Xenopus tropicalis: one gene and its partner. The protein of the gene in region 2 purifies or fractionates together with the protein of the main gene of each other region. This does not show direct contact. Links are inferred from orthologs where the notes say so. Each region holds a gene or a part of one and is shown on either strand. Other genes may lie near its edges. The genes, in order: wdr82 and zc3h4.

Region 1 (16,204 bases), on a different chromosome or scaffold from region 2:
GAAGTTCATAAATCTTGATATGTACCGAAGAACAGTTCTTATTTTGGCAAAGAGAAATGTTGGCTCAATACTGGGGTATTTTTATGGAAGAATAAAAAAAATAACCATTTTCTTGTTCTTCATATATCCGGGCATTGTGAAGATTTATTTGTGGAAAATAGCTGAAGAATGGGATTTTTACAAATGCCAGCTTCTCTGTATGCATCAGTCATCAATAGTTGGTAGCCAAAAAGCCTGCAATGTAAGATTGTTAGAATCAATTATCCACAGGATTTTCATAGATTCTAAAGCTAGCCACAAACTGTATACTTTGGGACTTCATAGCCTACAAGAAGACATTAATAACTTGATAATGCAACAATAGCTGTATAAAGTGCCAGTTATAACAACCAAAGAATATGATTGTGCTTACCATGTTTGAGCAAGCACTAGTAAACGTCATGAACTTGGGGTTGAACTGTAGGCATGTGATAGGACCTGTGTGTTTGCCATCCAGCACTGCTACTTTCATACCACTCTCACAATTCCAAACATGAATTTTGCCATCTTCTGAGCCTACAGAGATTGAGATGAACCAGTGAGAGGAGTGGATATTGCACAATAGTTGGGATATTAATAAATGTTTTCTTCTAACTTACCGATCATAATAAACTGGGAATCTGGAGTGAAGGTAGCTTCCAGGGTGACAGCCTTACTATTGTTGTAGCCCTAATAAAAAATTCATTATAAGTTTGTTATTTAGTAACGTATTCATCATAAAGTGCAAATATATTCCACAGCAGTAAGTTTAATGACAAGAAGTCATAAGGGCTCTACCTGTTCAGGCCATTTTAATGAAAAAAAAAATTACTCACCCCAAACGTGTGCATAACAGCCCCCTTAAAAGCATCAACCAGACGAAGGAAGCCTCCATTGGTTGACATTAAGATAAGTTTCCCATCATTGCTAAATTTCAGAGCAGTCCACTCACAGGTTCGATCATACTGCATCTTGAAGGTTGCAAATGGACCCTGTGATAAGCAATATTGTACCAGGTTGGTCAATCACTATTATGAAAAGGGACACTGTGCATTTTGTTTAATTTAAGCCCAAAGTGACAGTCAGAAAATGTGACAACTTTGAAGGCCTGGATCATTACTTTTACAGAAATGCTGAACCTTTAGGCTGGTGGATTAAGTCCAGTATATAAAATTCATTTTTAGCGTTTAGTTCTCCTTTCAATTCAGTCTGACACCATCATCATCATCTATTTATTTATTTATAGCACTAGCAAATTACGCAGCACTTAATCAAGATACATTGAATTTGCTTCCCTAAATAAATGGGAGAGTTTGGAAGGAAGGGGAGATTCGGATGGCTCAAGATGGATGATCACAAGCTTACGTAAGAAGCTGTTAGGTGCAGCTTTACACTATAACATACTAGCAAAGGATTAAAAAAATCAGTGCCACTGAGCAACCCTGATAAACTGCAGATATGACCTAAATTTTAGTCTTAAGCCACATGTTAAACAGAGACATTCACCTCTGGTACAAGCATTCCTTGCTCAATGAGGCATTTATAATACATCTATAAGCATAACGTAACGTTGCAGACATTTATAATGTATTATTTATATAGAACCTGCCATTTCCACATTGCTTTACAGAGATTATGGAATATTCACCTAAGTCCCTGCCCAAATGGAGTGTACAACCCAATTGCATTTACACACAGTAAAGTCAATGTTTTTTAGGAACCAATTAACCTGCCTGTATTTATTTTTTTAGGGATGCACCAAATCCAGGATTTGGTCCAGGATTCTGTATTTTTCATCAGGATTGGGATTTGGCTGAAACCATGCCTCTGGACAAACCAAATGCTTAAAATCACATGACTTTGATTTTTATCTATTTTATCCTTTCTGGTCCCAATTTGCATATGTAAATTAGGATTTAATTCGGATTAGTATTGGACAAATCTTTTGCAAATGATCCTACAATAGTGCAATAGTGGATTCTGTGCATCCCTAATTTTTTTGGGATAGTGAGAGAAACTAGGAGCAGCCATGTGGACACGGGAAGAACTTAAAACTCAATTTTGGGTTACAAAACTCACTTTATCAAAAGAGCGAAGATCATACAACTTGACCATCTCTGAATTTACTCCAGCTGCAAAAATGAGACCCTCGGGATCAAATGAACATACAGGTTTTCCTTGAAGATGCATTAGCCCCTGCATGGAAACAAGGAGACAAAGCAAGCCAAAGTTAACTTACAACATTTAGGTTATTACGCAAATAACTAAATACTAAAATAGTGATCAGACAATTACTCACCTGACAGTTAGGCGATCGAAGATCCCATAACCGGATGGTTTTATCCAATGACCCAGAAATGAACGTATCATCCACAGGAGACATAGACAAAGCAACTACTCTGTAAAGCACAACCAGAACATAATAAGATAATACTAGAGTGACTAGGGTAAGTTTAACTGAGAAACTGACACCAGTGTCCCAAAAGCTATAACTACCTATCAAAGTAAAGGTAATGTCACCCAAAGATTTACTGATAGGTTTGCTTTTTGAAAAATTTAGAGACACACTGAATCAAACACTTCAAACCCTCTGTACCATGGGCAGCCTGGACACTCCTTGACCAAAAGATATGGATCTATTGCCGATGCCTGCTATTATGAAGCTATTATAACTAATATTATAGTTTTTTTTTCTCTTATATTTCAGGCTCTCTCATATTCATCTTCCAGTCTGTCATTAAAACCATTGGCTGGTTGCTAGGGTAAATTGCACCGTGGTGTTCAGAGCTGCTGAAATTCTGACCTATCTACTGAACAAAATACTAAATATTTAAAACACAAAATAAAGATCAATTGCAAATTGTCTTAGAATACCACTGTCTTAATTTAAAGGAGAACTACCCCTTTACGTAAATAAAAATGACTGCTGCAGGCAATAAAGCAGAGTGCTATCTGAGTAAAAAGTTGTCAATAACGAAGTGGGTGTTAAATACAAGGGAGTTGCAACACTTTAATCTTGTGCCGAGGTCTCTTATTCCTTACAAACTACTGAAAATTAAAATATCTTACAGCCAATTTGTAAGTATTACTGACAAAACAAAATGTCCCTGGACACTGAAAAAGGAATTCTAAGGATTATGAGACACTATGCATTCTGACTGCATAAACCTTTTCTGGAAAAAGTCATGACTACAAAATCTGAAAACCCGATTTGTGTAGTTTCCCATAGCAACCAACGGATCAGGGTATGGTACAAGTGCACTATTATCACTTGAACATGTTCATGATTTCAAGCAATAATTAAACTTACATTCTAACTACAGAGATTGCTACTGACTATGGGAAAACATCTTCCTGAACGGTCATTGCAGTTTTTCCTGACTCATTCGCCTTTAGCTCCAATATGAAATGTACTGAATTTTGTAAAGCATGCTCACCTCTTGCTGTGTCCAGGGAAATAACGGATGTATTTATTATCATGAAGAGAGAGGTATCGTATTGTGTCTGTAGGAAAAAAATGTATGCACTAAAGATGTAATCAATACTATGTAAACTATACTTCACGCTATATGATTTACAGGCACCAAACATATGCACATCCCACATCAAAAAGGCAAACTAGAAATAGCATAAAACTACTTTATTTATTCCATAAATGTACAAAAAAACCAAATCACATTCTTAGCTGGTCAGTTCTCTGGGTGAAAGGATTCCTTGTCGAGTATGCTCTGTCCTAGGCAAGGCAGTGGCCTGTACAGTTATCTCCAACAGAGGGTGGTGTCACAGACCCTTAAACTGTACAAACAACTACCTCAGCCCAAATCCAGGCAGTCTGTCCGAACTTATTGGCATCTCCATATAAATGTATAACAGCACCTAAAATACACTTATTTTGTTAAAAAAAAAATCACCAAGTAAAATGTTACGGTACACGAACATGAAGTACCTCAATTGTTATTCCCCAAATTACTAGATCACATACCATCAATTTTGTTGGAGCTGTAGACCACTGTATTAGCTGCATGTGTATATCTGATAAGGTCAACACCATATTTTTTACTGTACAACGTCCTCTTGGGCCTAAAAAAAAAAAAATAAAAATATAACAAGGTATATACTTAGAAGAATGAAAAAAAAAAAACAGCAAGAATAAGTGAACAATGAGTCAATTGTATTCGTAAGGTCAACTAAATCCCTAGCAAAACATGGGTTGAATATTATTAAGTAAAGATGCACAGTTCTGCAGTACAAGTTTTCACATACAGCAGGGGTCCCCAAACTTTCTTACTCGTGAGCCACAGCCAAATGTATAAAAACTTAGAGACAACACAAGCATCATAAAAGTTCATGGAGATGCCAAATAAGGGCTAAGATTGGCTATTAGGTAGACTCTATGCACACTATCAGCTTACAGGAGGCTTTATTTGGTAGCAAATCTTGTTTTTATTCAACCAAAACTTGCCCCAAGCCAGGAATTCCAAAATAACTACCTGGTTTGGGGGCACTGAGAGCAACATCCCAGGGGTTGGGGAGCAACATGTTGCCCCGAGCCACTGGTTGGGGATCACTGACACACTGACTCTATGCTTACTACGCAATGTGTGTATGTGCCAATCATAGCATTCTTATTCACAGGGGTGGAACAAAAAAGAGCACGTACAGAGGGGATCACTGGGGTGTAACATACTATGCATAGGGCTGCTGTAAATGTGAATCAATACAGCTTTACTGTGCTTTACTACTGACATTTTCAGCCTATGTTTTGTTAGGGCAGAGCTGTCCAACCAGTGTGAACATGTACCCTAATTTCCATGTCTGCAGGCATACCCTGTCTCGTCTACCTGTGCTACAGTACTGGAAGAGAACGATACCCTTAACAGTGTCTATACAAAACAGGACCAGCACATGGAAATATTTTCAAGGGGGGTGTTCTCCTGTGATTTATTAGTCAAAAGTGAAAACACAGCATTTAGGGGTGAGCTCTTCAGTCAGGTAAATATGTTTGCTGACATTAGTTCCCAACATAAAAAGGTATTTTAAATATCACATATGTACTTACTTCCCCTCCTGGCAATCATAAAGCACAATTGAATCATCGTCGCTGCTGGATATGACTGTTTCACCAGTTGGACTAAAGTCAAAGCAATTTATTTTATCAGAGTTTTCCCGGAAGACCTTTGCCACACGGAAACTTCGGAGCACATTATCGGTGAGCTTCATGATGACCCAATGTGCTGGGACAGCAGGCCCCTGCAAAAAGGGAAATGATGAATGGTTAAGAAATTTGAAACTAGAAAAAAAAAACCAGATGGCTGTTAGGACATAATTAAGTGGGCACTTATATATAAACTGTTCAAATCGGGACAAAATCCTATATTCTGCAGTAGTGCATAAGAACATGAGGGGGGTTAGTAAGTAAGTGCTCATTTCCCAGTTACATCAGACCTCTGGATTAGTCTTATGGTTAAAAACTGGCCTTTGTACATCATTAAAAAGCAATCTGAGTCTATCAAAAGACCACTAGTACCCCAACAGCATTTGACTGGACACTGGAAGTTGCAGTTCAGCATCTCTAAGGCAGATGAGTTACCGATTCCTGGTCTAATAGACAATGCCACATCTAGATTTCCCCATAGAGTTTTAATGATATTAGAATATTGCCCTAGTCACTGTCTGTACAGCCTCTGCATGGCATTTAATATGGGCTTGTGCAGGAAGAATAAGCAGTCTAGGTCAATAATGTGGGAAAACACATTCTATATACCCAAAAGACCACAATACATATAATCATTATGACCCCATAAAGAGCTTCAAGCTCCTAGCACCTAACCCTAATAGGTCAATTTCTCACAGCATTTAACTGCTATCACAGACCCCTTTACTCAAGAAAATTCTGTTTATGCAAATGTTTAATTAAGCAGTGCATGGATTCCCACAGATTAGTCTGAACTTCTAAATACTGGTCTAGTCTGGGACTCAAAATAGGCCCAAACAGTCCCCAACCAGCTCACTGAATGGTGACTGCCTATAGTAACTTACAGCAGCCCCTCTGGCATTTGCAAAAATCCACAGATTAACAGTCCAGGCCTGCCTACATACAGCAATATAATTAAAGTTACATTAAATGTGCAGCGGAATTCAACAAGCTTTCATGTGATGTCAGAGGTTCATGTGTATACTCAGCGGAAAACAGAAAATGTGTTTATACTTGACGGCATAACGGTGTTTGTCTTAAAAGGCAGAGGTCTAGATACTGGACTGTAGGCGAGAATAAAATGGTTTAGCCAAATGTTAAGCACCCAAAGCAGAAGGAGCAAGGATCACCTCTAACTTTACCACCATTTAGGTTTGTGTATGGGCGGGATTACTTGCTTACGTTCCAACAAACTGGAAATGGGGGAATACTGCCCTTTATAGATGGAATGGGAGCCCTGATCACTGAAGAAATTCTGGTGTTCCAACTAGTAGTGATTCTCCAATTCATGAACTGCAACCCTCATCTACCATGACTGCAGTTAAACAGCAGCTGAAAGGCAGAGACTGGACATCTCTGATGTAAAATGTTTTCAATATATAGAATTCCTTAAAAGATGAAACATATATTAAAGGTTTTATCAAAATTAATGTCCTAACAGAGCCCTATAGTGCTGGGGGCTTAGTGCAAACGCCCCCCCTGAATGCTGAAAGGCATGGACCACCTCCTTTGAAATGCTAAAACTAGTAAAACACACATACTGAGTAGCTGATTGGAAATAATATTCATTCTTGTGGACTTTGTCAGTTCCTACTGCGATCCCGGGCAATGTGGCTGCTAATCTGCCGTAAAGCACTTGCTATACTAGTCAATGTACAATAAGCATGGGCGGGCATATAAAGCTGGCTCTAGTATCAGATATATGAACAACCTTTTAGAAATAGGCCAGACAGAACGAGCAGTTCCTTGCGAGTCGAGCCACGTTTTCAGGAGGACCCGGGCCTTACGAATGGCAGTATTTACCCTCCCGAAAGTTAAGAGAAGCTACTTTATACGTTCCTTCCCGATCACCAGCTTATCGGCGCCTGGTAGTTGTGCGACATTTGGGCATACGGATCGCGCGCGTTCCTACATTCTCATTGTCTCCGCCATGTTATTTCTGAAGCCGGGAAGGAGACAGCCCGCTCCTGGAAAAGCGTCATGTGCTATTGGCTGATTCAGGGGGTAGACGCAATACGGAAACGTCTCTGGCGTCATGCGTAACGACGTCCTGCAGGATAACGCCTACAGAACGGCGCCATGGCGGAAGTGGTTTTACGGTGTCGCCATGTTGATTGTGGCAAGAGAACTCGTTCCAGGCTGGTGTGCGAGGAATACTCGTAATGTCCTGAAGCATTCTCGGGTTCGCCCAATCAGTCAGTAAAAGAGTGAGAATACATGCTTTCAAGTATTTTTTTTGAAGTGTCAACATTCTCTATTTGTCCATGGGGAAGCAGTGGTAGGCAATGTAATGTGCGCCAGCTGCTGTTGGCTACAACGCTCACAATGCAGCCATGCGCAAAGGCTGACTAGTGTTCAGTGTTCTTAACAGTGTTCTTTGTGGCCTTGACTAAATACTGGTAATTGGTGTAACTTACTGCAATTATTATTAATAAAGAAACGTTGTCCACTTGTCAAGGTATCAATAGCAATGGATGTGCTGAATCCAAAATTCTGGGATTTGGCCAAACCCTGAATCTTTAATGAAAGTTTCGGCTGAATACTGAAACTAATTTGGATCCTACTTTGCATAAGGCTATGGAAGGATTCGAGAGAACCGCACGTGCAGCGCGTGGTTAAAAATGTTCAAGTTCCATGTTCATTTGACAAAAAAAATCACAGTTTTAAGGATTTGGTTCAGCCAGGTACTTGGATTTGGCCGAATCCTAAACCTAATTCTGGATATGGTGCATCCTTTCCAACAACCCATAAATCCTCAGGCCTAGGGGTTCCAACAAGCAGGAAGAATAAGCAGCTTCAGTAGAAAATCAAATACAGTTCTAGTCCAGGTCTCACCAGTTTAACTATGCAGGCTGGATCTGTCAGTCGTGCTGGGCTGGGGGAGCACCATGCACCTGTAGTCTGGAGGAGTCCGACACTGGACTTTTGGTTTTCCTGAAACTGGGTTGTGTGGTAATTTGTGAAAAATAAAGCTTGTTGTCAGTAGGGATGCACCAAATCCAGGATTCAGTCCTGGGCGGAATCAGAATCCTTAAAATCATGGGACTTTTCGCCACATATAAGCTGAAGTAGAAAATGTTTTGCTGCACATGGTTCTTTCTTGTGCATTCTGTTCCTTAGGTTGCATATGCAAATTAGGATTTGGTTCAGTATTTGGCAGAATCTTTCACAAAAGCATTCGGGGTTCGACTGAATCCCAGTATAGTGGATTCGGTGCATCCCTAGTTGTCAGTGATACATATTGATTCTGGCCTGGACTCACAATCTGTAGATTCTGCCAAATGCCAATTGAGTTGCTATAACATACTATAGACCAATGATCCTCAACCAGCGGCTCAGGGGCAACATGTTGCTCCCCAACCCCTTGGATATTGCTCCCAGTGGCCTCAAAGCAGAAACTTATTTTTTGAATTCCTGGCTTGGAGGCAAGTTTTGATTAGATAGAAACCAGGTGTACTGCCAAACAGAGCCTCTTGTAGGCTGCCAGTCCACATAGGGGCTACCAAATTGTCAACTACACCTTTTATTAGGCAACCTCCAGAAACATTTTTTCATGTGTAGCTCCCTAACTATTTTTACATTTGAATGTTGCTCATGGATAAAAAAGGTTGTGGACCCCCAGCCATAGATAGACTAGTTTTTGGGTGTGTAGGGGCTGAATGGGTCTCTGTGTACTTGAAGGCTGGACCTGGTCCCATTCATTGACTGCAACAAGTTAGTACCGCTTCAATAAAATTGGGGTTGATTTTCATACCTCCTAACCTTCTCAATTTAGATGGGACAGTTTTAATTCAGGAACCAAAAGGGACGGCCATACCTAAATACAGGATAACCCTGCTGTTTGTTTAAATAGCCAAGAATGTGCCAGTAACACTAAAGGTGCCCATACACCTTCAGGTGTGGGCGATATCGGGAGAATCCAGGCTAATTATATATTAATTATAACGACGGGTATAGGCAATGTCGTTCCGGGGACCGCATTAATGAGTCGATGCGGTCCCCGATCCGACTAGATTTTTTAACCTGCCGATCGATATCTGGCCAATTTCAGGCCAGATATCGGTCGGGCAGGCCCGTCGGTAGTGCTCATACATGGCCCGATTATCTGCCAAATTGGTATAAGGGACCGATATCGGGACCTTTTGACAGTTATGTGATATTATCTTTGCAGTGTTATTTGTTTTACTTTTTTACTTTACATGAGTCCATACTCAGTCTCCTGAATTAAAAAGCATTTTCAGCTTCTTTGTTGCCAGCAGGTAGCGCAGGTTTACCATGGGCAACAAATTACCCTGTGGGCCATCACTCTAAAAATCCCCAGCATAGAAGACAGCTTAGCTGGTTGCTGCTACTTCATTAGAACTGTAAGCTTCCTGACCCACACATTCTCCATGCTTATTTTCTTGAGGCATTGCAGCTTTAATGAGAAGCCTAGGCTGACTAAACCTGTGCCCATACAGATATAAAATGTTTTACTTATGACATATCAGGGGAAGAACATGATGGATGGCGAGGCATTAAAGGATAAGTAAACCTTTAAAATACGTGAATGTAAAATTGATGAGAGTGCTATTCTAAGCAGTTTTGCTATTTAAACTTATAATTTTTTTGAGATTCCAAAATATTAAGGGAAATATGTACTTTTAATATGAAAGCATTTTGTTACAACAGTGCCACCTGCTGGTCAGTTTCCAGTCAAGGAAATTGTCAGGAGAGAGAAAGAGGGCTGGTCTGATGTTCTTCTGGTTAGGAAAGATGAGAGGAAAGTTATCTAAGGTTTCTAATGTTTTTCCTAACCAGAAGAACATCAGACCAGCCCTCTTTCTCTCTCCTGACAATTTCCTTGACTGGATCATGGTCAGAAACTGACCAACAGTTGGTGCTGCTGTAACAAAGCTAATTTATATTTACAGTACATATTTTCATTAGGATCTCTGAATATTAAAAAAAAAATGAATGTAAATTGAATGAATGTAATGCAAATTGCAAAGTGCTTATAATAGCACTCTTATAAATTTTGCATTCATTATGTTAAAGGTTTACTTATTCATTAAGGGCTCTTATTAAGTAAATATTTGTCAGTACAGTTAAGGTATTATAAAGCAGGGACCTGCCTCCCAAGGCAAAATCTCTTAATAATTTACTGGTGACATGTTTTGGCTTTTAGTATGGCAAGCTGTATTTTGAACTTTAGACCAGTTTCTGCTGATCTTCAGACTGGGGACCCTGCAGACGATTATTATTGTGTGCTGAGTGTAGTACAAAAGGATATTCCACAACAGAACCTTTACCTAAGTCGTCCTCATTTTTGCAAAGCAGCTATTCCAGGTGCCTTCTGCAGCCTCTGCACTTTTAGAACAAAGCTATTCAAGTAAAGGGTATATTGATTTACTAAATGTTTCCTGTTCCTATGATTCACTGTTTGTGCATTTATCTAGTGATTTGATTCCAGTGACAACTCAGTTTATATGCTGTTGTTAACTTGACTTGTTTACTCATCAGACAGCCTATAAACATCTAATATATATCATTTCCATTACATGTTGTTTTGAGACATAAGTTCAAGCTTTATTTTTGGATGTTAGTCCCCCTTTAACCTTTTAAGTGCCAGTGCATTAAAACGGAAGCACCAGCAATACCAACACTATAGTTCCTCCATTTCTTGATTACATTGTAGCATATGGAAATAACCTGTTGCCTAGTCATGTGTGATCCTGACTGTGCTTGCGAGCATTTACAGGGGTTAATGGGATTATTAAATAGTTGTAGAATTTAGGATGTGCAATAGCATTTCTGGTTTTATAATACACTAATGTTATGTGATCTTTCTCTCTGTAGGTATATTTGGTACGGATGGCCAACGTTTTGCAGTTTCTGCCCATCAAAGCTGCTCTGTCCACCAAGATAAGCATTTCCTCGAGGAGGATGATGTCTTTGCAGACAGATGCCAAACAAATATTTTGGAAAGCAGTTTCTGCTGTTCTGCCACCCAACATGTTAGGGCGAAATGTAGCAGTGAAGGATAATGGTGATGCCTCTGTTCTGCAGTGTGGGGGCAAAGAGTTGCCTTTGCACAACAACCTCTACTTGGTAGGATTTGGAAAAGCCGTACTTGGAATGGCAGCAGCAGTGGAGAAAATAGTTGGAAAGCATCTGCTTCGGGGGGTAATTAGTATACCGAGAGGGATGGAAGAGACTCTTAAACAAGCTGGAAAGAGGTACTGTTCACAGCAGCCTAGTACTTCTGTCTTTGTATCCTTTTTTATTCCTTGCTTCCCTGCTCTGCGCTGCAGTGGATAAGCTCCTCCCCACAATGGTGGGCTGGTAGGAAAACTATTTACAGAAAACTTAAATCGTCACTATATTCCTGCTTTTAATTTCTTTCCTGTGCTTCTGTTCCCTCTAAAATTGTCGTCATGTGCTCAGCTTGGCTAGTTTGCAGAACAAATTGTGTTGCGCATAGAGAATTTTGCGCACAAACACATTTAGTACTAATTTGGACCAACCCACCTCTTTGCGAAGATAATGTTTTAAAAGTGCACAAGAAACCTTTTTGCATCTATAATTTTTACAAGTAGGGTGTACATATGATGTATACTCCCTCTATGTGTGTAGAGCAGGGCTGTCCAACTGGAGGCCCATGGGCCGGATGTGGTCCTCTACATGATATATGTAGAAATATGCCTATAAAGCAGTTTTAATAAAATGTTTGAAATATGTATTAAATTGCAATTTACAGCATTTTAGCTCCCACTTCTTTGATAAAACATCATGATATATGAATGCCAGGGGTCTCCTAACCAGCTTTATACCCAATATGCACATAATTATAACACAAAGTTGCATGTAGAGACCCTAAAATGAAAATATTACACACCAAATTATGTGTGCAAAAATGATTAGTTCCAAAGTCTAATCAAGTACCTGTAAAACCAATTAAAGTAATTTGAAAAAAACCCAGACAGAAACCCAGTCTCACTAGTCTTGCTGTGCATATTTTAGTCACAATCAAGCAGTTATCAGTAATCCTGAACTGAAAATGCTATAAGATCTCCAAAGAATCAATAACATTGCTTAAAGGAGAAGGAAAGTCAAAGTCACTTGGGGGTGCCAAAATGTTAGGCACCCCCAAGTGACTTCAGTAGCCTACCTTTTACCACGGCTGGTGCCCCTGTTCAGAGAGAACAGCACCGGCCCGGGGTAGCTGCCAGCGCTTCCTCCTTCCTGGTTCGCTGCGCACGCATGTGCAGTTGAGTGAAAAGCGGAACTTTAACTGAGAAGTTGGCTTTTTCAGGGGCACCAGCCAGGGGTACAAGGTAAATGATTAAAGCCAAGTGACTTTGCCTTTCCTTCTCCATTAAAGATGCTTAAAGCAGTCAGACTAGGCAAGAAAACACCTTTTAGCCCAATAAAACAGATAAAAAAAAATAATATCTATGTATATTTATGTATAAGTGTGTCCTGTGAGAATTCAAAAGCCCCCCATGCTCCAAAAAATTGTGTGTGTATGTCACAATATGGGAGGTGATGGTGGTGGGGGTTTAGGAAGCAGTGATAACACCTGAATTACGGTTTGCACAGATTCTGATTCACAATATTTGATGAATTTACATGCCATTTTAAGCAAGTAAGCTTGAATTCAGCAAGCAGTATGCCAGCCCTTGGCTTTTGTAAATGTAGGAAATAAAAATAGTCTGGAGATTGTATTTCTGTTTCATTAATCGTCAGTGTAATAATTGCAGGGAAATGCTCCTGTCTCCAGACTCACGGATCCGGGTGATGGAAGGTGCAGAACACAACATGCCAGACAAAGCAGCACTGGAGGCAGCTAGAGAAATACAGAGCCTTGCAGAGAAACTGACAGAGCAAGATATACTGCTTGTGCTGATCTCAGGTGGATGAAAGACAACTATAAACAATACAACTATATTATACTATATTGTATAAAGGATATCATAATGTGACAGCTAGCAAGCAAAGGGTGTCAGAAAGCTATCACTTGGCATATATGGAAAAGAAAAGAATAAAACTGAAGCAGTTCAGTAGATGTGGGATTTCTTACAAAAAATATGTGTACCAGATTGCACCGTGCAGAAGCCATAGCAACCAATCAATTCATGGAATAAAAATACTTACTGGTTGCCATCGATACTGTTAAGCATGTGCATCTAATTTTATGTTTCTTGAACTGTTTCTAAATGCTGTGACCTATTTATATTCTTTTGTCTCTCTTCCTCTTAGGGGGAGGCTCAGCACTTTTGCCTGCACCAGTTCCTCCTCTTTCCTTACAGGATAAGCAAATGATAACAAAACAGCTGGCTATGAAGGGAGCGACCATACATGAATTAAACACTCTGCGTAGGGCTCTGTCACACCTAAAAGGTGGAGGGCTTGCCAACATAGCATACCCGGCTCAGGTCAGTATATGGCCTGAATCACTCTGTTTCAAAGAGACATTTATTGTAGTGAGCTTTACAGGTCATTTGTGATGCCCCTGCTCGGTAGATTGATGGCACTTTCCTGTCAGTAATTATCAATAGTGCCCAACAGAACTGTTGGTAATCCTTACTGTTAATGAAAAAGTTATGTATCAGAAAACTCTGCATGGCATTATTTACTATTTGGGTTATCAAAATATAATATACAGGTATGGGACCTGTTACCCAAAATACTTGGAACCTGTGGTTTTCCGGATTAGGGGCCTTTCCTTAATATGGATTGCCATATACTAAAAAATAATTTAAGCATTAAATATACCCAATAGGATTGTTTTACCTTCAATAAGGATTAATTATATCTTAGTTAGGATCAAGTACAAGGTATTGTTCTATTATAACAGGAAAAAGGGAACTCATTTTTAGGGCTACACCGAATCCAGGATTCTGTTCGGGATTCGGCCAAGATCCGGCTTTTTTTTGGTAGGATTCGGACGAATACATGCCTCTGGCCTACCTGAATCCAAATAATCCAAAAAAATTCTTAAAACAATGTGACTTTTTGTCACATTAACAGGGAAATAGCATATTTTTCACTGCACACGTACCATTCCTTATCCTAATTTCCATATGCTGTTTTAGATTCGGTTCCGTATTCGGCCGGATCCTAAATTAGTGGATTTGGTGCATCCCTAATAATTTTTAAAAATGTTAATCTGTATATTGATGGATCTCTATTTCTGTGCATCTTTTAGAGGCAATCAAACATCATAAATTGTTTGTGTTTGGTAAAGGCAAATGCATATGCCAGGGTCTAAGCAACATTAGGTGTTTATGTCTGACTTTTTTATGCTTGCTATGCATTAGGCCATGTCCTTATTTCTCCTAAAACTTGTTTAGAATCTCTCACAAGTCCAGTAACTCACTTACATTCTGTTTCTCTACAGGTGCTCAGCTTGATTCTGTCTGATGTGATAGGAGATGACCTTGATATCATAGCAAGTGGCCCCACGGTTCACTGCACACACAATAAGCAAGAATGCCTACAGATACTGAGCAACTTCAACCTAACAAAGTCTGTGCCAGTGGCAGTGGAGCGTGCATTGCTCGCTATGCCACAGGAACAACTAAGCACAGATTTCAGCCATGTTCATAATATTCTCATTGGTTCCAACCTCATTGCACTGCAAGAAGCCAAGGAGAAATCCACTGAACTGGGTTATCATACACTACTCATGTCTACTGCTGTTAATGGTGATGTAAAAAAAGTAGGGTACTTTTATGGATGCCTTGCTCAGGTCATTTGCGCCATACTGACACATAACCCCAAGGAAGCACTGTGGGAACAAGAGCTTTTAGCTGTGGCCAGTGATCTTTCTATTCCTGACTTAAATATTGCAGAGAAGTTAGAGGCATTAAGAGAATCTAGAAATGTACAGTCAATTTGTATCCTGTGTGGAGGGGAGACAACAGTGCTTGTACAGGGAAAAGGGAAAGGAGGTAGAAACCAGGAACTTGCTCTGAGAGTGGCACAAGAATGGCACAAGTCTCCCTTTTGTTTAAGTGACTGTGAGGTTTTGTTTTTAAGTGGTGGCACAGATGGGCAAGATGGACCCACAGAAGCAGCTGGAGCTTATGCTTACCCAGCACTGGTGAGGCATGCTCAGGAGAGCGGACTCGATGCTGAAAGCTTTTTAACATGCAGTGATTCTCACACTTTCTTTTCTCAGTTTCAAGATGGCACATATCTTCTCAATACTGGTTTGACTGGGACAAATGTTATGGATGTGCAAGTGCTTTTGATAAGGCGAGCAACAGATGGACAATGATATCAGCCCTGCCTGGAATACATATTTCAAATAAGAATCAACAGAATATGGAACACATTGAATTTTAAAATTCTGATGTCTTACTATGGGCTTCATCATAATTATTCTGTAATCATATGTAAATATACCTTAATAAACTGTGTATAGTGTCTTCTATAATAAAATATATATCCAGTCTTATCTGAATCAGACCAGTGAACTCAAAGATGCTCACAGGAGAGATAGCCAGTATGCTGACTTATAGCAATATATATTTGTGTATTGTTTAATGATCATGGAGTTTGTGTAACCCACAAAATTAATGGTCAGGCAATTTAGCTGGGTCAGCCAATGCATTAAAGTGGCCTTACTCCCTATTGGTTTGCTAGCCTATTATTAACAGTGTGGGGCCAGTATTGTTTATCATTCCTATCATCAAATTTATGGTACTGCTCTTCCTATGGCAGAAATCACTCATGTGCCATAGGCCTTAAACACATTGAGGCTACCAGGTTACTTGTCTGCTAATTAAACATACAAGACATAAAGCATTTTTACCATCATGTATGCAGTTACAAATAATAGTACATTTTGGCTAAAAAGGATTTAAGCTAACTGTATATCTTTTCTGACTTTCAAATATGGGTGTGTACTAACAATCCTTGCCCTGTCTGTAGGATGTTGGCAGCCAATCAGGCTGTTTAGGGATGTGTGCTTGAAATGCCAGGGCCTATTTTGTATCCCAGTCT
Region 2 (16,249 bases):
CAACCAAATTTTTTGCCCCCCCCCCCTTTTTCCCACCCCCCAATAGCTGCTCCCCCAGTGACCCCTCCCATCAGTTTCCAAGCAGCCTATGCAATAAAATGTCTCTTTAACAAATGGCACACACTACACAGAACACAAATGAGTTTTATATCTGTTAAATCACATTTATTACTATTATTGATACAGCACAGGCACTTAGAGGAAATGCTTTCTCCTGATTACCCCCCCCCCCCCCCCATGGTCCACCTGCTTTCTCCGGCTCCCCCCCCCCCCCCCAGCATCCACCTACTTTCTCCTGATCCCCCCCAGAATCCACCTGCTTCCTACGGCTCCCCCTTAGCATGCTCTGACTCCCCACCATCGTCCAACTCCCCCTGCGTCCAACTGCATCCACCAACTCCCCCTGCGTCCAACTGCATCCACCAACTCCCCCTGCGTCCAACTGCATCCACCAACTCCCCCCCCCTCCAACTGCATCCACCAACTCCCCCCATGTCCAACTGCATCCACCAACTCCCCCCATGTCCAACTGCATCCACCAACTCCCCCCATGTCCAACTGCATCCACCAACTCCCCCCATGTCCAACTGCATCCACCAACTCTCCCCATGTCCAACTGCATCCACCAACTCTCCCCATGTCCAACTGCATCCACCAACTCCCCCCATGTCCAACTGCATCCACCAACTCCCCCCATGTCCAACTTCATCCACCAACTCTCCCCATGTCCAACTGCATCCACCAACTCTCCCCATGTCCAACTGCATCCACCAACTCCCCCCATGTCCAACTGCATCCACCAACTCCCCCCATGTCCAACTGCATCCACCAACTCCCCCCATGTCCAACTGCATCCACCAACTCTCCCCATGTCCAACTTCATCCACCAACTCTCCCCATGTCCAACTTCATCCACCAACTCCCCCCGCGTCCAACTTCATCCACCAACTCTCCCCATGTCCAACTGCATCAACCAACTCCCCCCATGTCCAACTGCATCTACCAACACCCCCCCATGTCCAACTGCATCTACCAACACCCCCCTCCTCGTCCAACTGCATCCACCTGTTCAGGCCCCTGCCGCAATCTCCTGCTCACCGCCACCGTAGCCTCACTTTTATAAGGTCGCGCCCCGTGCGTACTGGCGTCACGTACACACGGGGCGCGACCAATCAAATTACCCGCTGACCACCAATGATAGGGCCCGTAACTTTTAAAGGGGGCCGGGCTAAAAATACTGTATCACGGCAGCGAGAAGTGTCCGGGCAAAATTGTGTTGAATGCTGCCTGTCAGAACCACTGATTGGTGGCTGCTGGATTTATCTGAATAAGTCTCACCATTCTGTACTTTTTGTAAAGCATTGTTTTAAAATATGAAATATCCCATGCTGTATTGTGCAAAATAAAATGTAAAAAATTCAAGGCAATATAATGGTATCCTCAACACTGCTTTCTTACAAAGGATCCTGGACAAACGTTACAAATGTATTCCCACTAAACATATTTTTGCTGTTCACACAAGAATTTGTAATACTGGGAGTTCATAGCATTATCAAATTGTGCTGACATACTTGATTGCCATCCTATGGATTCTAGGTATTATTTTTACAAGCAAGTAAGTCGAGAGTGATTGGTGTAAAAATACAGCAGCAGTACCTGTATCTCTTACGATCTCTTGTTCCATTCCCATGCTTGGGTGCTGGTAGTAGTCGTCATAGAAAACCTGTCCAGGTGGCCCATCATTCATCATTTCAGGACCATCTTCTGGCCCATATGGCATTATGGGCATATTTTCATCCATGCCCAGCTCTATGTCATGATGCATTGGGCCTGGAGGTCCAGGAAATCTAGGTGGTGGTGGACCTGGAGGACCTCCAGGAGGTCCAGGTGGCCTGCATAAAAAAATACAATTTATTTGGAGCTGCCAACACAATTGTTCATATTTTATCGCAAGTCAAATACATGCACTGTCTTACCTCACTCCCAGCTTATGAGCCAAATGAGCAGTGGGCCGCACTACAATTTCAAAGAGAGATGGTATTTTCCTCTGGCACATCTGTGGATCCATTGGCTGCTGCGGACCAGGTGGCATTGATCCTGGCGGAGGTCCTCCGGACAAAGGGCTACCTGGCATTAGGTCACCTGATGCAAGACCTATAGATCCTGGGCTTCCTGGCATTGGGCCTCCAAGCCCTACCTCCATTGGTAGCATCAGGCCTTCTGGGTTTGGCTGCATGGGTGGCATTGGGACACCTGTTTCCATAGGATCTCCAAGACCACAATGCATCGGGGGTACTGGTCCCTCTGATAAAGGTCCTCCTGTAATTTGTCCAGCAGGCATAGATCCTTCTGGTATGCAACCTGATGAAACAGGACCTCCTGCCATTGGGCCCCCAACAAATGATCCAACAGGTCCTCCAGAAACTAGGCCACCTGATACAGGACCTACAGGCATCTGCATATCTGAAATTTGATCGTCTTGCACTGCACCACCTGAAATGGGGCCTCCAGGCAATGGTCCACTAGGTGGTGGTGCTCCCACCAAAGATGCTTCAGGTATTGATGCACTTGGTACAGGACCCCCAGATATAGGAGCATCAGAGACAGGAACGCAAGGTATTGGTCCACCAGCGATAGGAACTCCAGATACTGGCACACTAGGGGCTGATTTACCACCAGTAGGAGAGGATGGAGCAGCTGGCCCTGTTGAACTTTGAGCTCCATGAGAGTGGGATGGTGTAGGCAGAAGGCCTACTCCTGGTGGTGGCTTTGGTAAAGGGTTGATACCTTGCTTTTTTAGCTCTTCAACATCCTTTTCATCTTCTGCTCCAGCTTCTGCATCTTCAGCCAATATCTGAAACCAATGAATATACAGTGCATAAATATATATATATATATATATATATATATATATATATATGATATATGATATATGTGTAGTTTTTAGAAAGAGTAATGAAACAGAAATGAAGGCAATTGTGCCATGAACAACTAAAACACATTAATGGCCATTAAAATGTATGAAAAAGATAGCGATGTAACCCCTATGTTCCAACACTGTATACATTTCTAAGGGGTTACTTAACCATTACACAGTTACTAATTGATATTGATCAATGGATCTTTAATATAAAAAAATGATTATTGCTACTACTTAATTAGTTGAAAACAGTTATAAGTCAGTTTATCCAATCTAAACAACTAGAAAAGTTTTAAATTCCAGAATACTATTTAAATAACATGTTTAGTAGCAGTTATAGGATTAAAAGGTTGTCTACTGCTATCTTAAATGGGTTGTCCACCTTGTGGAAAGTCCTACCAGTTAAATATAGAAAAAAAAAATCAAAATGGGCCTACCCGACCCCTAAGGTGCAGGAACTAAGAATCAGAGAGTACAGTGAACTTTATGTACTAGTGTGCATTCCCCATTTATACACACCAGGCTTTTCAAAAGATGAAACATAGCCTTCAGCTAACAATGGATATTTATTTAATCAAGAAGCAATACCCCTAAACACACCTGCAGTACCTTATCTGAATGTCTTTATATGGGTAAATATTTAAGAAAATGTAACTACCTGGTATTCAAAAGAAACTGTGCAATTAGCCTATGATTAGCAAATTAGGCAACTGCATAAATGTCAATATTCACCTATCAGTTAAGTTGTACCTTATTTAGAAGTTCTTGTGTTTCATCTGTCAGGGGCTCATGGGAGAACATGCAATCTTCACCATTAATACAATTGCCTGTGGTATGGTACAGCTTACAAGGGAAATCATGTGAGCACAGTTAAGGAAAAATACCCAAAATCAGGTTAAAAACACAGAAACATAAATACATACTCAGAAAAAGTTATACAGAATTATATCTCATATCCGATCTGCATTACTTCATTCTGCTCGACACATTAATCTGCAGTTATAGCTCAAGATTTTTTCTTTGTAGGCTACAAACATTTGTAAATATGAGGTAGCAAATGTAAAGGAAAAAAAGAAGCTTTTTTTTCCCCTCTAATAGTGATAAATAAAAGGAAAAACAGTCAAGTAAAGTAATTAAAAGTGAAGGTATTTTCTTCACTCAGATTCACAATACAAACCAGTGGAGGAAGCGTAGATCATGGTTATAGCATAAGAATGGAGACATTACATTTAAAATAAGTGTATAATATTTATAATATTATTGTCTAGTAGCTTAGTGGTTTAGCAGTCTGCTAATGTACTACTTCTTTCTCTAAGAAAGGATATTGTGCATGAATGGACAGTTTTCTGCTCTAGCACAGTAGCCACTGACATAAAATTTGCATAGTCCACGGCGACGGGGAACTTCCACATCATGGCTGAAATTACAGTGCTCTCCCTGAAAATAAAAAGAAAGGTAAGGATGTAAAAAATGGGATTTTGTGTTACTCATCGTTAAATCCCTTTCTCTCTGAAGTCTGTGGGACACAGGAACATTGGAGCAGAACATCAACCACTAGGAGGCAGAACATTGCAAGGAAAAACAACTCTGCCCTCTAATGCTATCCCCCAGCAGTAAGCCTTAGATCAGGGGTTTCCAATCTTTACTAGTGAGCCACAATCAAATGTAAAAAGACTTGGACAGCAACAAAAGCATCATAAAACTTAATGGAGGTGGCAAATAAGGGCTAAGATTGTCTATTAGGTAGTCTCTATGCACACTATCAGCTTTCAGGAGGCTTTATTTGGTAGTAAATCTTGTTTTTATTCAACCTAAACTTACCACCAAGTGAGGAATTCAAAAATAACTATCTGCTTTGGGGGCACCGAGAGCAATACCCAAGGGCTTGGTGAGCAACATGTTGCTCACGAGCCACTGGTTGGGGATCACTGCCTTAGATGCTCAGTTTTGACTAACAACAAAGGAATGAATAACCCATAACTACTATTTACAGTAATAGCATCAGGAAGGTAGTAGGACCACTTTTCACAGACTGCAGAGAGAAAGGAATTTAGCAGTAACACAAAATCCCCTTTTCTCTGGTTGGTCTGTGGTAAACAGGAACCATGGGGACATACCAATGCTGTCCCCCAAAAATTAGGGAGGAAGAAAATGAGGCCAGAATTAAACCACTGTCGTCTAAAACACTTTTCTCTTGAAGTGGGCGTCATCTGCTGCAAAGACCTTGAATTTGTAGAGTTTCGGAATAGAGTGGAGTGATGACCAGGTAGTGGCCTGCACAGCTGTTCCGCAGAGACACGGTTCCGGAAAGCCTAGGAGGTACTGAATCTCCTGGTCAGGTGCTCCCCAACGCAAAGAGGGAGGAGGACAAAAGGTTGTAATAATAATTTCCTGGTTGATTTGAATTTCCTACATGACCTTCTGAAGGAAAGAAGGTATGGTATGTAGCACTGCCTGAGCTCAGAGACTGTTCTGGCAGAGGTAATCATGAGCAAAAATAAAGTCTTACAAGTAAGCCAGAACAGTGGAGCAGTAGCCATAGGCTCAAAGGGAGCCTCCTGCGTGCCAAGTTAAAGGAGAAGGAAAGGTATAATCACTGGTGATTGTAATCACTTACCTTATACCCCAGGCCATGCCAACAGAAAACTGCACCAGATTTGGGTACCTGCGTGCGAGGGATCCTCTTCTTCTTCATGATCCCAAGTCCTGCGCAGTATAGTAAAAAAAAGCCAGCTTTTTTTGTAAAAGTTTGGCTTTTCACTCAAAAACAGAAGGAAGAGGATCACTTGCAGGTAACCTGGGCCAGTGCAGGCTTCTGCTAACAGCATCACCGACCTGGGGTAACAGGTAAGTGATTGCGGTCACCGGGGGGGGGCTAACATTTTTTCATCCTCCCCAGTGATTATACCTTACCTTCTCCTTTAAGGTCCCAGGGAGGCAGGGGTGCTCTGTAGGGGAATGCAATATGGGCTACTCCTTAAAGAAATGTGCGGATATCCTGAAGCTTAGTGAGCTTCCTCTGGAAGAGGACTGATAGTGCCAAAACTCGTGACTTGAGGGAGGCAAGGTAAAGACCTTTAGTGAGGCCAGATAGTAGAAAGTGCAAGATGGTTGTGACTGAGTAGCAGTCCCAAGGTAGGTTCAGGGCAAAGCACCAGTCTTTGTAGATCCTCCTTTGATACATTTGTGAGACCAGTTTTCAAACCACGAGCATGGTAAAGATAACATGGCAGAATACCCTTTTCTATGGAGAGTTAGGGACTCAACAGCCATGCAGTTAAATGTAGCACACCTGGGTTGGAATGTAGGATGTTTGGGGGAAGGTGTGTAACACATTTGAAAGGGTGAAATCCCATGATATTGTCATGGCATCTGCTGCCAGGGCCAAGGGCTCTTTGCAACCGGCTATTAAACAGGACGCCTTGTTATTTTGTCTGGATACCATGAGGTCCACCTGTGGTTGACCCACCAATGTTCTGAAAGACCTCTTGGTTTACAGACCATTCTCCTGAATCTAGCAGCTGCTGCCTGAGGTAGTCAGCTTGCCAGTTGCCTAGCCGTGGTATGTATACCACTGACCATGTGCACACCTACTGGTGCCTCCCTGATTGTTCAAGATCAGGCTCGAGGTCGAAGTCTTGGAAGATATGGAGGGACGAAAAAAGCGGGAAAGGATGTACAGGACCCAAGTTTGAGGTAGCAAGGTGTTTTCCCCCCTGTGGCCTGACTGATAATTTTATCTAGCTCGGGTTCTAGAGGAGCTACCCTTTGTAAGGGACTTCTTAGATGAGTGCACCGGGTTGCCACCAAAGAGCAGAGGTAAAACTGGTTACTTGTACATCATCAAGAGCTGCCTTGCAGATGTAATCATTGGCTTCATTAATTAATCTGTAGAGCTGTAGTCAGAAGTTCTTGTCTGGGAGTGCCGGAATTGATACCTTCTGTGAGGAAAGTGGACCAAGACCAAGGCCCTGCTGACCCAGGCAGAGGCCAAGATAGGATAGAGAGATTCACCTGAAGTGGTGAAGATTGATCTAAGGAGGCCTTCTCTGGGTGGTCCCACTTAGCATGAATGATGTTACCCAATTGAGCATGGAAAGGAATAGAGAGGATTCCTTTTGTCTCTTAAACAGAGACTGAAGAATCAGGTGTTGATGTCAGGTTTTTGAGATCAAGGCAATGTAGGACTGTGCAAATTAGGTTATCTAATGTTTCTGAGAAGGATTTGTTTAGATCTTCACCTGCCTCTTCCTGGTCTACTGCCTTAGGCCCAAGTCTATCAAGCAATTTGTCTAGGCATGCTGCCAATTTAGGGATGTCAGTGGACAACTGCAGAGCCCACATGGGGGGGATCTTGGATGGAAGTAGAAGGCTGGGCAGGCACAGGAGAGGTGTCCCCCACAGGGGCTTGAGCTGTGGTGGGAGCAGGGAGATCCTGAGCAAGGAAAGGTGCTTCAGAGGACTGATTAGTGCAGGAGGAGCATAAGAGGTCCTTGGGCCTAAAGGTGGCCATACACGGACAAATTCAGCTGTCGTTATCAGTTCTTTAAGACCGATTCGGCAGCTTATCTGCCGTGTATGGGCCCCCCAACAGGCCTACCCCATCGATATCTGGCGTGAAATTGGCCAGATCTCGATTAGGCAAGTTTGATTTTCCATAAGATCAGGGGCCACATTGGCTCTTTGATGTGGTCCCTGATGGGAGCAACATCCAAGGGATTGGGGAGCAACATGTTGCCCGAGTCACTGGTTGGGGATCACTGACCTAAGGCACACTGCTGGGGTCTAGTGGTGCCTAGTGGTGGATGCTATACCCTATGGTTCCTGTGTCCCACAGACATGCCAGAGAAAAGACTTGCCGCCTCATTAAGAGAAAACAATAAAAACCTTTTTTAAGGTTGCATCTTATAAACCAGTTAGACATGTGTACAGCAATGCAATATATTCATCACTCATATAAAAAAAAGTATCAAGATTTCCATGACTAAACCCTTTTAAAGCCATAGAAGTTGCTAGAAGACTAGAAAGTAGGTCAAAACAACAGTCTGATAGGCTGTAAGCTAGTTAGCTAATCTACTGTGCTACTATATAAGTTTATTAGGCCTATAAGTAAAATCATTACCCAGGTGCAGCGGCCTTCTACAAAATACTTGCAGACAACTTTCCCTTTTTTATCAGCCCGATGGTGTGGCTTCTCATAATCATTTCTATACATTCCTCCATCCTAGAATGAGAAAAAAAGAATCAGAAATATACAGTTTGCTTAATTGAAATAAGCTGATTAAAAAAAAATAAATGTTAAAAGTAATGAATGACCACTGAAACAATATGAAAACTGAAGAATTTTCTAGCCTACAGAACTGTATTCATTAACTATATTACCATTCAATCAAAATTGCCACAAGACCTAAATGTTCTTATTCTAATATTAACACACAAGCACCATCTCTGCAGTCTAAGGCACACAAACTGCACAACTCATCAGAACCTTCATTAATCACATCTCATTTCAGTGAATTGACACTTTTAATGTCCATTGCCATGTATCAGTACTAAGTAAATCAGGACAGAAACTGCATTTTAACACCCATTCAGTTTTGATATTGTACACAGATAGAACAGCAATCACAGGCATGATATAAATGTATTTAGAAAAAAAAACCTGTGATTTTATGATTTATGTCTTGAATACATAACTTACACCCTCTTCCTCATAGTATTCATCCTCATCATTTCCCTTCCCTCCTCTGCCTCGTCCTCTTCCTCTTCCCATGATTTTGTATCCCCTTCCACGTGGGCCCCGACCGCGGCCTCTATAAAATCCTGTAAAGGAGGTTAAAAAAAAAAAAAAAAGATCATCACTTTCAAATACCTGTAATGGATTAAACTGCGGTTTAAACTTTAAACTAACGGTCCATGTGTTCCAAAGAAATATCTCCTTTATTACAAAAAAAAAAAAAATACAAAACTTCAGGTTGTAAGATCAGCAGCTTCAACAAAGCAGTGCACAGCAGCACTATTTACATACAGCTTTGAAAACACTCAGAGGTCAACAATCACTGTGTGACAAGACTTATCAAGAGCTCACCTCGACCTCTGCCCTCTTTTGCCTTCCGATACTGGTTAAGTTCCTTGGAATAATCGTCATACTCTTCATCTTCCATTGCTTCTTCTTCACAGTACTGTAAGCAACACAATCCACAATTATATCAGAGTAATAAAAATGCAGGTCTCTACATTTTCAAAATGTTTCTTTAGTTTTTATTTAACAGAAATTCCATAATTGTTTAACTTAATTCATACTGTTAACCTAACAGCTAGAAAAAGAATGAAGCCCTGTAAACAGGTTGAGTTGATAACTTTTAGATTCATTAGCTTAGCATTGATCAAAAAATATTGAAGATGAGGAGCACCTTCCATTGATCCAAAGATACCACAAAGGAGGTTGTGCAGGGTAAAGAAAATTACGAAAAGTGGGCAGGCACATCTACATCCAAATTCGATAACATCACCTGTGCCAGTGACCTTATCGAATTTGAATGTAGATGTGCCTGCCCACTTTTCTTAGTTTGACATCTCCATTGGCTGATTTGAATTATCTTTGGTTATAAATAGACGTGCGTTATGCAAACACGTTGCCTTTGACAAAGCCCTTATTTGTTGAGGGCAAAAAGCATGTCAGGCGCTTTTTAGTTTTGTTTAGGCAGGACTTTACAACGTTGAACTGAGGGGGTGATTGGGTGCTAGTAGCAGGGGTGGAAGGGTGTTGATGCTACCTAGTGGCCCCAGGCAGACTTGACTTGTAATATGGGCTGGCAAGCATAGGTGCTTTGCTGATGGTATTGCATCGCCAGGGAGAGGCCCATTATTGAGATAAGAATGCCCTGTTATATAATCAGATGCCCAAATATGCCCACAGACCAAGCTACCCTAGCCTATCACCTAATCCTGGCAAGAACCTAATATTCATCACATGCCAATTTTTGGCATATAATGAGGTAATAATTTGGCACCTAAGAAGAAATTCACAGTCTTAGAGCAGCTACATTCATAGTATATAGGTAGCTTGTTAACTGTTGATTTACTAGGTTGGCTTTCAGTTGGTCCTTGTCTAAATCGTGATTTTTAATGTAAATTTTAGCTTCACTAATCTGTCTTAGCACAATTTATTTTTATCCTTTAAGTTACATTTTAACAGGGTAATTAAATATGCTATCAATGTGAAAGAGCGGAAGGTGCAACACTGTAGGTCATACTTTTTTCTTTCCCTATTTTAGTTTAGCATTGATGTCTTCCAATGTTTGGTGGGGGCCTAGGTTTCATCCAAGGCACAAGCTATGAAAAGTTTATGTACATTCTGCCCATGCTTGCTTGGGTTTCCCCCAACAATCCAGAAACATTCAGACAGATTAACTGGGTCTTGATAAAATTTACCATAGTTTGTGAATGTGATATGGACTTTAAATTTTAAGCTCCACTTGGGCAGGGTCTGACTGATGTGACTGATGTGAATTATGTATAATCACTTTAAAAGTCCTGCAGAATATGCTGGTACTATATGAAAACAAGCTATATTAAATATATGCTTTAGCTAGATAGCAGCATACAATATTACTACCTCCATTTCTTCATCATACATCTCCTCTTCATCAGGATGATCCTCTCCTGGAAATCCTCTTCCTCTGCCACCTCTACCCCTGAAACCTCTTCCTCGCATCATTCCACGTACTCCTCGACCTCTCATAATTCTTCCTCTACCTCTAATGCCTATGGAATAAACAAGTATAGAAGAGATACTTAACTGTGATAAGCTGTAAAGATTATGCACCACTGCAATAAACCTCAAGAAACCAAAAATAAAATGAATTTGGGGAAGGTCTGACCACAATATGTGTATAGTATGGATGAAGTGTCTGTATGTAAACATAATTGTATTGAATATCCTAAATGTTCTAGCTTTTTCATACTGAGAAAAAAACATTAACAATAGAACATTTTAAAATAGAAAATTACTCTTATAATTGTAACCACACTTAAATACTCATAACTAAAACTGTATTTTCATTTATAAATGAACCAGTGCACAAAACAAAATGGTGAATTGACAGGTTTTTTGGGGTTTGTAATCTGTGTCCAACATGTTTGCCTTTCAGTACTTATAAAATGATATATCTACATATCTGTTGTCCCACCTCTGCCACGATGACTTCCTTCTTTGGCCCTTCTGTACTGGTTCAGTTCCTTGGCAAAGTCATCATAGTCTTCCTTGCCCATGTCTTCCCCTTCATCCCCCTCATACTCGCCATAATGGTCATTTTCATAATCATCGTACATGCCGTAGCCTTTGCTATCCATTTTGGGGTATTTCTTAGGAGGTGGGGCATTGTGCTGTGGGGGCGGAGGGTATTGCTGGTGAGCCTGAAAGAAAACAAAACACCACATAGGACAAAGAATGCACTGGATGAACAGCAGGTGAGAGAATGGGGTTTCAAGTTAAATAATTTATCAAGTCCTTTAGAGCAGCAATTTCTAACCTCTTTTACACAGGTCTTCTAATTTTTAGTCAACACTTTTGTCTTACCCATCTGAAATACCACTTCTGAAAATATAAAATTCTTTCATAGGAAAACTAGTTTAAAAAACAAATGGAAATCATTGCTTTGGCATGTTATATGGACTCAGTGATGAAGCACCTCATTTAATGCCACATATGCCAAGTAAGAAATCCACTTGGGCCTGAACAGATCTCACAGTTTTAGAAACACTTCTTTACAGTGCACATGCTGCCTATTCACAGGACTCATGATCACATGCCAAATAGTTCACAGGGTAATATGAAATTCTGACAGACCTGTGTTGCTGTGGGCAAACCAACAGAACAGGAACCACTATGCATATTTAGATACTGTCAAACATTTTATGAAGCGTCAAAGATTTTTTTGTTGCAATATAGCTGTTAAAAATATAAGTACTGTGTGCTAACTGTAATACTGATATGGGTTGGGTTAACAGATATACTAGAAGACATCAACTATGATCTTAAAACTCACCGGAGGGTAAGAGGGGCTATATTCACGGTACTTCCTGTGTCCCTTTTCACTTGGGCTGAAGTCTGAGTCATTGCTATAGTCAGAAAAGTCTTCACTGGAGGATGCATGACGCTAAAGAAAATCAACAAAAACAATAAGGATATAATGTAAGTGGAAACTGATCAACATCTGATCAATCTGGATGCTTTAAAGCTAATCATTTGAGGACAATTAATGTTTTCTTACAGAATACTACTTATTTGACAGAGCTGTGTATTGGCATATCCTACTATTCCTCACAAATTTTTTTTAATGATAAAATTGTTATAAAGTCCCTGCCCATCAACTAACTGCCATCAATTAACTAGCAAGACATCCCATGATCTTTTAATAGGGAGGCAAAACAGGTAAGGGTGATGGCAAATGATATTAGTCAGTTGCAATGTATCTGCGCTACCATGGGCGACTAATCTCCCCTGAATGCTTTCCAACTGGTGATTTAATGTAAATCACTGGTGAGAAAACATACACATCACAAAGTCACCCAAAGTTTCCTAGCGACTTTGGAAAAACTAAGTGAATTTTATGTTCCCACTGGCTATTTACATTTTTACTTATAGGCATTTTCTGGGGGTTTATCACCCGAGAAGTGCATATTTACTGTGGGGGTCAAATCTCCCTGTGTGCCATGGCCCTAAAGTGTTTATGGCCAGATACCTCAGAATGTTAGCACCCAGTAAACAACCTGAAAAACGGTTAAAAACAAGGTCCACACAAATGTATGCATTAAACATCCTAAAAACAGGACTGTGTAAAGTGGTTGCTGGCTGGAAAGGTAAAGCCAAAAGGTGAAGCCTGTGGTATTTATGTGCCACAATTGCCTGAATGAAAAATACACTTAGGGGCTCATTTATCAATGTATGAATTTCTATTGTGTTAAAGTACAATTTGCGAAAATTTGTATACTTAATAATTTCTGATGTGCGGAAATGTTACAAATGTTATGAAGTCAAAACTTTCTGACTTCCCATAGGACTCAATGGAACTCTGCAGCTCCAACCTGGCCAAAGGAAAGCCATGATACCGAAGCTTGAAAGAATTACAAAACTTTTGTACTCGTTGCGACAAATACGATTTTGTCACACAAATTTTTGCAAAGTACACAACAGTCAGACAAGTTAACAAAAAAAAATTGCTGGAAATACGCAAAAGTTCTTTAGAAAAAATAAAAAATTTTCGTAATCGGACCTGTCGTACTTTAATGAATGTGAAAAGTGTGCAATTCACCCTACAAACAACCACCCTAGATGCTGGCTAAAATAATCAATAAGAAAACAGAATGCCGCACAAACAGGGACTTCAAAAAAAGCAAAAACTGTTTATTAAAAAAGATCTTTTTTAATAAACACTTTTTGCTTTTTCTGAACTCCCTGTGTATGCGGCATTCTGTTCTCTCATATATTATATATATATATATATATATATATATATATACCTTGTGCTTGGATTTCCTTTTCTTCTTAGATCGCCTTTTCTCTTTTTCCTTTCGTCGCTTCCTCTTCATCTTGCGATGTGCCTTCTCTTCATCAGAGTCACTGTAATGCTTCTCACTCTTCTCTTGTGGAGCCTGGGCCTCTGACAGATCACGGGCTCCATCCTCTCCCCCATCATCCTCAAGCTCTCCTTCTTCCAGTTCACCATCCTCCCTGCTGAAAAAAATACAGAGAAGTCAGAGAGCAATGACATTACAACCTTTACTGACTTGTTGAAGACTTGAAAGCAAGTACTATGTCCCATATCCCTTCCAGTATGCTTAAGATAAGCTGAAATGATAAGTGTGCAGGAAAAAAACAAGCAGAACTAAAAATATGTACCTTGTTGTGAAACCAAAACTGTAAGCAATGATAAATGCTGGCCATAAAAAATACTCCTCACTTTAGATGCAGTAGAGTGGCTGTTGATTATAATGCTTCTAAAACCCACATTACTGCTTTAATGAAGCATATAAAAATAGATTAGCAGCTACCTGCAATGCATATTCCTGCATACATATCTATGTATAGCAAAGCTCAATAGATGAATGTAATGCATAATCAGCAATGCATGCACTACAGGAACTAATCCAAAGGTTTTGCACACATAGCCTGTGTGCAGAATACTGTTTCCTTCCAGCTATGTAGACAGCTTTTTATAAAGCTACAATATATGAGGATTTCTATACGTCAGCTATAAAACCAGACATGTACAGAATTTAGCAACTTGCGGCAATTCAATTAAACCCACACCCAACGTGTTTAGTATTTATGTTGGTCCACCTCTTTGCACACAGTTTTTTTTAATGTGTAAATGAAAGCTTATTTTTTTCAAGTATTTTTAAAATTGCATATAGTTACATAGTTACATAGGGTTGAAAAAAAAACAATGTCCATCAAGTTCAACCCATCCAAGTAAACCCAGCAAACCTAACCCACACCTACCAATCTATACACTCACATACATAAACTATAAATACAACCATTAATACTAACTGTAGATATTAGTACAGGTATAGGACCCATTATCCAGAATGCTCGGGACCAAGGGTATTCCGGATAAGGGGTCTTTCCGTAATTTGGATCTCTATACCTTAAGTCTACTAAAAAAAACAATAAAACATTAATTAAACCCAATAGGATTGTTTTGCATCCAATAAGGATTAGTTATATCTTAGTTGGGATCAATTACAAGGTACTGTTTTATTACTAAAGAGAAAAAGGAAATCCGTTTTAAAATTCTAAATGATTTGCTTAAAATGGAGTCTATGGGAGACGGACTTTCCGTAATTCGGAGCTTTCTGGATAATGGGTTTCCGGATAAGGGATCCTATACCTGTATCACAATAGCCTTGGATATTCTGATTGTTCAAGAACTCATCCAGGCCCCTCTTAAAGGCATTACCACATCTCTAGGAAGGGCATTCCACAACATCACTGCCCTCACCGTGAAAAACCACCTATGCTGCTTCAAATGGAAGCTCCGTTCCTCTAATCTAAAGGGGTGACCTCTGGTGCGTTGATTGTTTTTATGGGAAAAAAGAACATCCCCCATCTGCCTATAATCCCCTCTAATGTACTTGTACAGAGTAATCGTGTCCCCTCGCAAGCACCTCTTTTCCAGAGAAAACAACCTCAACCTCGACAGTCTAACCTCATAGTTTAAATCTTCCATCCCCTTATCCAGTTTAGTTGCACGTCTCTGCACTCTCTCCAGCTCATTAATATCCTTCTTAAGGACTGGAGCCCAAAACTGCACTGCATACTTAAGGTGAGGCCTTACCAGGGACCTATAAAAATTATGTTCTCATCCCTTGAGTCAATGCCCTTTTTTATACAAGACAGCACTTTATTTGCTTTAGTAGCCACAGAATGAGATTGTCTGGAATTAGACAACTTGTTATCTACAAAAACCCCTAGATCCTTCTCCATTAAGGATACCCCCAACACACTACCATATGAACCTCTTGTGCACTCGGTGGGGGAAAAAATAATTTATTACTGAAAAGAATAACAAGAAACACACTTTCAATGGTACATGTAGCCAGGATCATCACTGCAGGTAATATTTACTAAGCACTTAAATCAATGAAAATTAGTTATCTAAAAATATACACTTCTAGTGCTACATGAGGCAAAATAAAAAGTCTGACATCGGCCATTGCAGAATTATTAAAAAAGTGCAAGTCAAAACCTGAAATTCAATTGTTGTTTTTGTAATATATATGTATAATAAGTTAGGTGAAAAATGTGTCATGTACAGGAATCACATGTTTACAATTCCCAAGATGTATTTGCCATTATTAAGCAAGTTACAGTTTAAAGTGGATTGAAAAGCCAAACACTTATATAAAGATATATAGAGTAAACTACAGCTCACAGTATCATCAGCTAGCATGTTTGTTCTTATGAAAACCTTGCACCTATCACCAAGTGTAAGACAAGCATCTAATAAAAGTAGGGAATTACAAAACAAGCTAACATAACTGTAAGATGATTATGAAAATATTTACCATTCTAACAGATCAATTAAAGGCAATCTATAATGGGTATTTAAAAATGTTTGTTCAAATTATATATTTCTAAATTATATTAGGGCATCCCCTACCCTTATTCAACTTACAAAGTACAGGTCACATTGCAATATTACATCTAAGCTATGACACCAACAAATTAGCGGTGTGCTCGCACAGTTTTATACAAATATAATTCAATATTGGCTAAACCCAACCATCTCTGTATCATGCAAGCACCTTTATCTAATAAAA

What was found.
Region 1: the proteins of zc3h4 (region 2) and wdr82 purify together in Homo sapiens (affinity purification with western blotting; 4 studies listed by BioGRID and IntAct, with this or other methods). This does not show direct contact. The link is inferred for Xenopus tropicalis from reciprocal best matches to the Homo sapiens genes ZC3H4 and WDR82.

What each region holds. Positions count from the first base shown.
Region 1 is NC_030680.2:128,220,722-128,236,925, reverse strand, and holds the start of wdr82 (WD repeat-containing protein 82), read right to left. Parts: upstream 7,132-16,204; 5' UTR 6,924-7,131; intron 5,269-6,923; 5' UTR 5,239-5,268; coding exon 5,078-5,238; intron 4,099-5,077; coding exon 4,001-4,098; intron 3,837-4,000; exon of another isoform or gene 3,753-3,836; intron 3,523-3,752; coding exon 3,456-3,522; intron 2,418-3,455; coding exon 2,318-2,417; intron 2,215-2,317; coding exon 2,098-2,214; intron 1,011-2,097; coding exon 855-1,010; intron 709-854; coding exon 639-708; intron 556-638; coding exon 413-555; intron 235-412; coding exon 205-234; 3' UTR 1-204. Other genes in the region: glyctk (glycerate kinase), read left to right, coding at 11,138-11,430, 12,955-13,114. UniProt on the Homo sapiens protein: Regulatory component of the SET1/COMPASS complex implicated in the tethering of this complex to transcriptional start sites of active genes.
Region 2 is NC_030684.2:77,125,257-77,141,505, reverse strand, and holds the start of zc3h4 (zinc finger CCCH domain-containing protein 4), read right to left. Parts: upstream 9,009-16,249; intron 8,744-9,008; coding exon of another isoform or gene 8,694-8,743; coding exon 8,622-8,693; intron 8,145-8,621; coding exon 8,043-8,144; intron 4,358-8,042; coding exon 4,246-4,357; intron 3,781-4,245; coding exon 3,671-3,780; intron 2,855-3,670; coding exon 1,977-2,854; intron 1,893-1,976; coding exon 1,657-1,892; intron 1-1,656. UniProt on the Homo sapiens protein: RNA-binding protein that suppresses transcription of long non-coding RNAs (lncRNAs). LncRNAs are defined as transcripts more than 200 nucleotides that are not translated into protein.